2 linked regions of the Alligator mississippiensis genome follow. The protein of the gene in region 2 purifies or fractionates together with the protein of the main gene of each other region. This does not show direct contact. Links are inferred from orthologs where the notes say so. Each region holds a gene or a part of one and is shown on either strand. Other genes may lie near its edges.

The links.
Region 1: the proteins of SLC6A15 (region 2) and GPAT3 purify together in Homo sapiens (co-immunoprecipitation; 3 studies listed by BioGRID and IntAct, counting the BioPlex papers as one, with this or other methods). This does not show direct contact. The link is inferred for Alligator mississippiensis from reciprocal best matches to the Homo sapiens genes SLC6A15 and GPAT3.

The regions. Positions count from the first base shown.
Region 1 is NC_081825.1:146,939,503-146,943,248, reverse strand, and holds the start of GPAT3 (glycerol-3-phosphate acyltransferase 3), read right to left. Parts: upstream 2,571-3,746; 5' UTR 2,513-2,570; coding exon 2,369-2,512; intron 1-2,368. UniProt on the Homo sapiens protein: Converts glycerol-3-phosphate to 1-acyl-sn-glycerol-3-phosphate (lysophosphatidic acid or LPA) by incorporating an acyl moiety at the sn-1 position of the glycerol backbone.
Region 2 is NC_081827.1:81,766,477-81,770,222, forward strand, and holds the start of SLC6A15 (sodium-dependent neutral amino acid transporter B(0)AT2), read right to left. Parts: upstream 2,244-3,746; 5' UTR 2,050-2,243; intron 1-2,049.

The sequences.
Region 1 (3,746 bases), on a different chromosome or scaffold from region 2:
AAGAGTATATGTGCTTGCCATGGCATATTGTCAGTTTTAAGAACAGATAATGGTCCACAATTTTCTGGAGCTGCATTTAAGCAGTGTGCAGCCCAGTATGACTTCAGCATATCACCAGCAGTCTGTATTTCCCACCTAGTAATGGGGAAGCAGAATGTGCAGTGCAGACTATGAAGAATTTGCTTGAGAAAAAATGAAGATCTCTATAAGGTTCTCCTAATACACCCTTCAATACCATTAGAGCATAGATGGAGTCCAGCTGAGTTGCTTCTGAGTCACTGATTCCATATAAGCCTACCCAACTTTGATAGGTGGTTTCAAAACTTGTGGATACACAGGAATTTGATGAGAAAGACAGAAATGGAATTATCAGTTTAACTGTCCTTTATAACACCAGGCATGCCTCAAGAAGTGTCCCTGCTCCTTCCCCATATCAGGAAAGTTTGGATTCCAGATGCAGGAGTACAAAGCACCATCTAGGCTAGGGCGGACAGCCCTTGTTCATATTGGGTGGAGACACCTAGAGGTCTTCTCCTTCAAGAAAATTGAGAGAATCTCCTTCATATTACACTTGTTTACCATATTAGGTCAGGATGTGCGTCAGATTCACCAAATAGACTAGATTTGTGAACTTAACTGCTTGAAAAGGGTTATTGATGTTTCTGATTTGATTATTCTCTTTTTGTAGAAAAGTGAGTGGTAAAGACTCACAAGAGCAATGTGCTTGCAACCTCTCCACTCAAGATGACTTTGCAGTTCTTTGAAAATCCTTCAGGTTTTTCTTAAGAAAGGGGGATGTAGTAGTAAGCCCTTCCTGAGGGCTGACACAATTATATCAACAGGAAGTTGTCAGCCATCTTTCTGTGTGGTTTAGCAGTTGCAATAAAGTCCTTTTGAGAGCAAGAAGTCTCCCTGCCTTTTCCTGAGCTATGAGATAGCACAGGGGCAGGGATCCATTAGCTCCTCACCTGCCCCCATGCCATGACCCACAGGGCTAGGGAGGCTGCCTCAGCTCTATGACAGAAGGCATGGGGCCACTGGCTGGCCTGGAGCGGACAAGCTGGGGTGGAGGCTAGCTGACCGCGAGATGGGGGCCTCTAAGCTGCGCAGCAGAACAGGTGCGCCTGGCAGTGCAGCATGAGTGTGCCTACATAGCTGCACATACCACAGAGCTTAGAGGGAATGCTGGATGGGGGTTAGCGGGGGGCTGCAATGTATCCTGGGATGCCAGAGGACTAAGCTCTAACTTGTGTTTGGAGGGGATCTAGGACACAAGTCTGATAACTGGTGTAACCTAAATCAGTTAATTCTGATACTACATCCATATCCATCTCAAACCAGTTTGTCATTTTGATACCAGTCTACGTGCACTGAACTTCTGTTGTGTTACAGGTTTAAACCAACTTCCAATCACTTATACCAGCTCATATATAATCACTGTCCCTAGGCCAGAAGTGGCTCCCCAAAGCACCAAAACTGGATCACCTCTGAGCCTAGACAGATTGCAGTGTTAGCCTATTATGTCAGCTCAAATAAACTGGGGAGCATACCACTTCAGAACTGTATTCTTTTGGGGATGTGGGAGCTAGCCTGATGTTTATCTGCCTCAGTGGTCTCCAACCTTTTTAAGTAGGAGATCACCTTTGGCATTTAAAAGCAATCCAAGATCTACTGTGCACAGCTGCCACCACCTCCACCCAGCAGGTAAGTCTGCAGGCAAGGAAGAGGGGGGGCAGACTGAGGCAGAAAAAATTATTTGGGGTCATGCCTCCCCTGCAGGTAAGTCCCACCTGGCCAGGACCCCATTCAACTTACCCCTGCTCCTGCCTCTGCAGCACTGTCCTTCACCATGGGGGCCTTGATCTAGCCCCCATCCCTTCCCTCCCCCCCACATGGACTGACCTGCTGGGCTGGGACACATGCACTCAGCACCCCACCCCAGCCTTGGATCAACTCCAAGAGGCTCCAAAGATCTACTGGTGGATCGAGATCCACTGTTGATGACCGCTGATCTACCTACTCTGGCCGAAGGCATAACATAGACACGTGCCCATGTATACCTTGAGTTCACATATCCTCTGAGCCTGCAAGATGGGGGGAAGGTTCGAACACCTGGAAGGGAGAGAGGATGGGGGGGAGGAGGGGTCGAACAGCTGGAAGGGGAAAGTTTCGACAGCTGGGACAGGATTGAAGTGGGGTGGTGCAGGTTCGAACAGCTGGCGGGGGGGGGGGGGGAGGAAAGATTCCAACAGCTGGGGAGAGGGGTCAGGGGGTGTTTCCAATCCCAGGTGACTGGGGAGGCAGGCTGGGCTGGGTTCCCGAAGGCATCCGCAGGACTCAGGAAAGAGCGGCAGAGCCTCCCACTCACCTCCAGGGTCTTGACCAGGACGGTCATGTAGAGCTCGGAGATACCCAGCGACACGCCGATGACCGACGGCAGCAGGATGAGGCCGAGCACCAGGGCAAGCCACACGGACAGCGCCACGGTCGCCGCCGCGCCCCACGCCTCCATGGCCCGGCTCTACGTCCGCTTGCAAGGGCGGTGGCTCGACTCGGCGGGGGGAGGAGGAGTGACCTAGAGGCTGCCGAGCGCTGCCCCGCCCCCTTCGCCCGCCCAGCCCAGCCCAGCTGTGCGCAGCTGCGTGCGGCCCTCTCAGCCCTGCCTGAGGCCGCCAGCGGCAGATCACGGGTTCCGGCTTCCTGGCTTGGTCGTAGTTAGTCGTCACGGTGTCTGCTGAAGCGAGCTTCAGCTCACAAAGCTTGTGATTACACACACACATACACACACACGTGCTATAGGGCGATACATGTACAGATGTGCTATAGACAGAGAGGTAGGTGTATGTTTGTGTATCTACCTGCCTACGGCCGGTGTGTGTGTAATTAAGTGTGGAGGGGGTTAGAGGCAGCGCTCCCCTGAGTTTCCTGCTCCAAATAGGAAGAACCTACTTGCACTGGACAGTGATCATTAGTGTGCGCTTAATGCACAGGAAAGTTTTGATGGTTATCCAGATTTTGAGTGGCCACATCCTTTTCTGCCCTTTGTCTTCCTAATTTCCAGGTAGGCAAGATTATTTAAGTAGATGCAATATCTTTATTAGACCAAATGAGTACTTGGAAAAAAGTTATAATCAAGCTGTCGGGTGCAGTCACCCTTCCTCAGGCATAGGAGGTCTCTGCTGTTCTGAGACTCCAAGGAATGAGAGGTGCTAAAAGTGTGGCAAGATGTCAGTGAGAATGTAAATAGGTCCTTTTTCACAGACAGCCTCTTTTCTGCCTTAACAATCTACTGCTGTAGAGTCTCCCTTACTCACCTTTGGCTTTTTCCCCCCTCATTCTCCTCCCCACTTCCCTGCTCTACCTGTTTTGTTTTCCTAATTCCCACCTATTTACATTCTCACTGACATCCTGTCACCCTTTTAGCTTCTCATTCCTCAGAGTCTCAGAACAGCAGAGGCTTCCTACGCCTGAAGAAGGGCGTTTGTGCCGGAAATCCTCCAGAAAACTTTTTTCCAACTACTCAGTTGGTCTGATATAAGATATCACATCTACCCAAAGAATCTTGTCTGACAAATACACACACTTCAAACACTGAGCATGACCATCAATTAAAAAGCTGCAAAAAAATCAGACAAAAATTGTAGGGTGCACTTAATACTTAAATTGGTAAGACCCAACTGACTTCCCCTATTGAAGGGGAGCTGCCAACCCTCCCCTTTTTATAGTTTAAAACGTGATATTATGTA
Region 2 (3,746 bases):
TCATGTCACTTAATTCTACTGGTGGCACATCTGAATAGCTAGGAAATGGCTCATTTCTGCATCCTAACTAATAGGAGGTTTTGTTCAGGAATCTTAAGTAAAAAACTGATCTCAGAGAACGAAGAACTAGGCCCTAACCAGCGTTATCTTAACCACTTCTATGTTACTAATCCAAACTGTGAATAATGGCTAAGAATCAAAATGGAGTAATTTTGACTTGGTTATTCCTATACTTATTAGCTATGTTCTCTTTATGCAAAGCAAGGAAGATCACCAAGGAGGATCACTGTTAAATTATCTGGGAAACAGGTTGTATAAAACATATATTTTGGGGACTATTCATTATGTTTTTTTAAAGGAGAAAGTTAGCTGAAGAATTTGTCTGAGAAAAAGTCACCTAAACGCACACAGCCAGAATGCAGAGGCTGATGAAACACCTGACTCATATGAAATCACTTATTTTTTACTCATTTATGTACTCTTGGATGAGTGGGGTGGGGAGGAGGAACGGAAAGAAATCAGCATCCTTATCTTGTCATACGCAGGGGAGACGTTCACAAAGCCCTACGCTGAGCAGTTAATTTTCTGCTGTGCACCAATACAACTAAAATCACGGTGCCTGACATGCAGCAATCCCCTATCTAAGACTAAAATGGCTGATCCAGACAGCAATTTCTGACCAAAAAAACCAAACAAAACCCATTGATGAAATGCAATTTCTTGCAAGGGGCATTTCCATTCTTCCGCACCCCGCTCCTCGCTTTGTTTGGCTGGGCAACAATGCGCTGGCAGCTCTGCCATGGCCAGGTCCTACATCCCACCCCCCCCAAGACAAAGCCTAGCAGAGAAAACCAAAACCCGCCTGCCTGGCTGTATCACACTTAGCAGCCCACAAAGGAATGCCCTGAAGATGGATGTTGGCATTAAGGAGCATGATCAAGGGAAGTCAAAAAGCAGAACACAAAAAATAAAACGGGAAGCATGAATCTCCCCCTCTGGGCTGTGGTGCAATGCCTGTGGAAGGAAGGGGGTCCTCTTTAAAAAGATGGGGGGGGGGGGGGATAAAAGCCTCGAGGGAAGAAGATGAAGGTTGAGGAGAGGTCCTCATTAACATACCCACCCAAACATGGCTGACATCACAGTGCACCAGCCGGCAGCCCGCCCGGGGCTGCTCCTACCAGACTGGCGGTGGGGCGCGGGGAGAGGGAGGGGGCCAGAGACAGCAGCGAGGAGGGAGCACCTCCCCCTCCCCTGCCTCTCTGTCCCACCTCGGAGCCCGCAGCTCCCTCCCTCGGCCCCGGGGCCAGGCAGCCTGACGCGCGCGCCCGACCTGTCGCGGGAGCGGCGCCCCCTGCCCCCAGCACGGCGAGGGCTTTGCCGGCGGGGAGGGGCCCCGCCTCCTGCAGCGGGCGGACACGTCGCCCCCTCGGCGCCCTCGGGGCACGGCCGGCCCCCGCGGATGCCTCGCGCCTCCCGCACCCCCGGCCGCCGCGAACCAAGATGGCTTAGGCATCCACTCATATCATATACGTATATGCACATGCACGCACAGACACACGCACACACTCACATAGACACGTACAGATACATACGCACCCACGCGCATACACACACACATACACTTAGGCACATGCACACGCTCGTCCACACATACACAGACACACGCGCACACCCTCCCTCACGTATACACAGACACAGGCACACGCAAACCTGTATCTACACACAGAGCGGCACCCATATACATCTGCACATGCACACACTCACATAGACACACGCACGCACATGCAGATACACACCCACGCGCATACACACACACCCACGCGTATACTTACTCACATGTACACGCTCACCCACACAGAGACACACGCACATATCCATCGGCACATGCACACATACGTACACACGCGCACGCGGGGGTAAGAGCCAGGCTCCCCCCCCCCTTCCCCTCCCCCATTCAGCAGCATCCAAGCCCGGAGCACCCCGAGGGCACGGCTGTGCCCCCCCCCCCCCACGGGGCGAAGCCCCCTCGGCCGGAGCCGGGCCCCTCACCTCTCCGGCGGGGCTCGCGCCGGCGTGTGGGGCTTGGCCCGGCGTCCTCGGAGTGAATGAATGAGCGAGCGGGTGTGTGTGTGCGGGTGTGCCCGGGCGAGAGGCGGACAGCGGGAGAGGGATGATGGAGACGCACATGTGCCCGGCCCTCCCTTTGCAGCGCCTGTTTAAAGACTAGCACAAGGCGAGAGGGGCGGGAGGGGGAGGGGAGCAGGGCTGAGCGGAGCCGGGGGAGCCGCACCTCCCTGACGCAGAGACGCTGCAACACCCGCCTGCAGCAGCGGCACCAGAGGCTGAGGGCGCGGCGGGGAGAGGCGGGGGAGGCCGGCAGCGCCGCTGGGGGCTCTCGTGCTCCCCGGGGAAGTCTCTGCTCCGGTCTGCAGCCCCCTGCCCGAGCCAGCCCCACCCTTGCTCCGCGCTGGAGCGGGGATGCTGCAGCGCACCCCGCCCTGCCACATGGTGTCTTTCTCTCGGGTTACTGCCCTGCCCTTGGCCTAGTGCCCACAGTGTGGCTGGGCTGAGAGTGAAGGGGGTGCTAGGTGTGAGGACCGATAGAAAGAGGGGAGACAGCAGAAAAGGCACTTGGAGAGACCCGGACCTTATCCGAGAGGGCAGGGAGGTGATGCTGGGGTGGGTGAGGAGTGGGGCTGGGGAACGAGGAAAGAGATGGGGGGGGGCATAGAAGTAGTGGAAATGGTAGGGGAGTAGATTTGGAGAAGCAGTAAAGTGCCTGGAGGTGAAATTATCCTGAGGCAAATAAACCTGGAAACAAGCAGAATTCCAGGAGTGACAAAGCACCGACTCCAGCCGCCATGCCGCGCACCCGGGTGTGTGAAAGCTTGCAGCCCTCCATGCCCCTTCATCATTAGATACCTAACTAAACACCATAAAGCAGGGCGTCTCAACCCCTGCTCCATGAGATCCTTTTAAGGGTGATGCAGGGTACCGTGCAATATTAGCACTGTTAGGTGTACAGACACCAACGCAGGATTCACAAGAGAAACCCCAAGGTTTCAATTAGCATTCAGAACATGCTGCCCTGTTGTGGTCTTTCTGAGTTCTTTGGGACAGAAGAATTGCTTGATTATTTTTCTGTAGCCAAGGAACGAGCAAAAGCTAAGAGCCGGCATTTTTTTTTTGAGGGGTGCTCAAGTCTAAAACGATTGAGAAGGATTGTCATAAACGATTGTCATAAAGGCAATATACCTGAAAATAAAGCCCTAGACTGCAAAGAGCTGCTTAACACAACTCAACTCCCCTCAAAATATCCCCACAATCAAAGAAAGAGGACTTTTCCCAAGACACACCCCATCCAGGACAAATGACTTCACCCCCCCCCCCCCCCACCTCCCGAACAATCTGTTCCCAATAAGGGAGTGTTATTCCTCTCTCCAAAACTTTCCTATACATGCCCCAACTGGAACCGGAAAGTGAGTCCCTCCCCCAGAATCTCCCTCTGTACATCCAGCCTGCGGAAGAGAAAATTGCTGACCGTGCCCTGAGAACATTATATACAAACACCTAGAAGACAAGGAGCTGCCACCTTCCAAAGCATCTTCCTCCACATCAGAATAGGGCTCTGCCCCCTAACTAGTCACAGTTCCCAAGAAGTGGCCTGCCCCCATGATCTGTGTCTCCTAAATATACATGCAACCCAGGAAGAGGGTGACCCCACCCTCCTGACTGACAGTACAGCA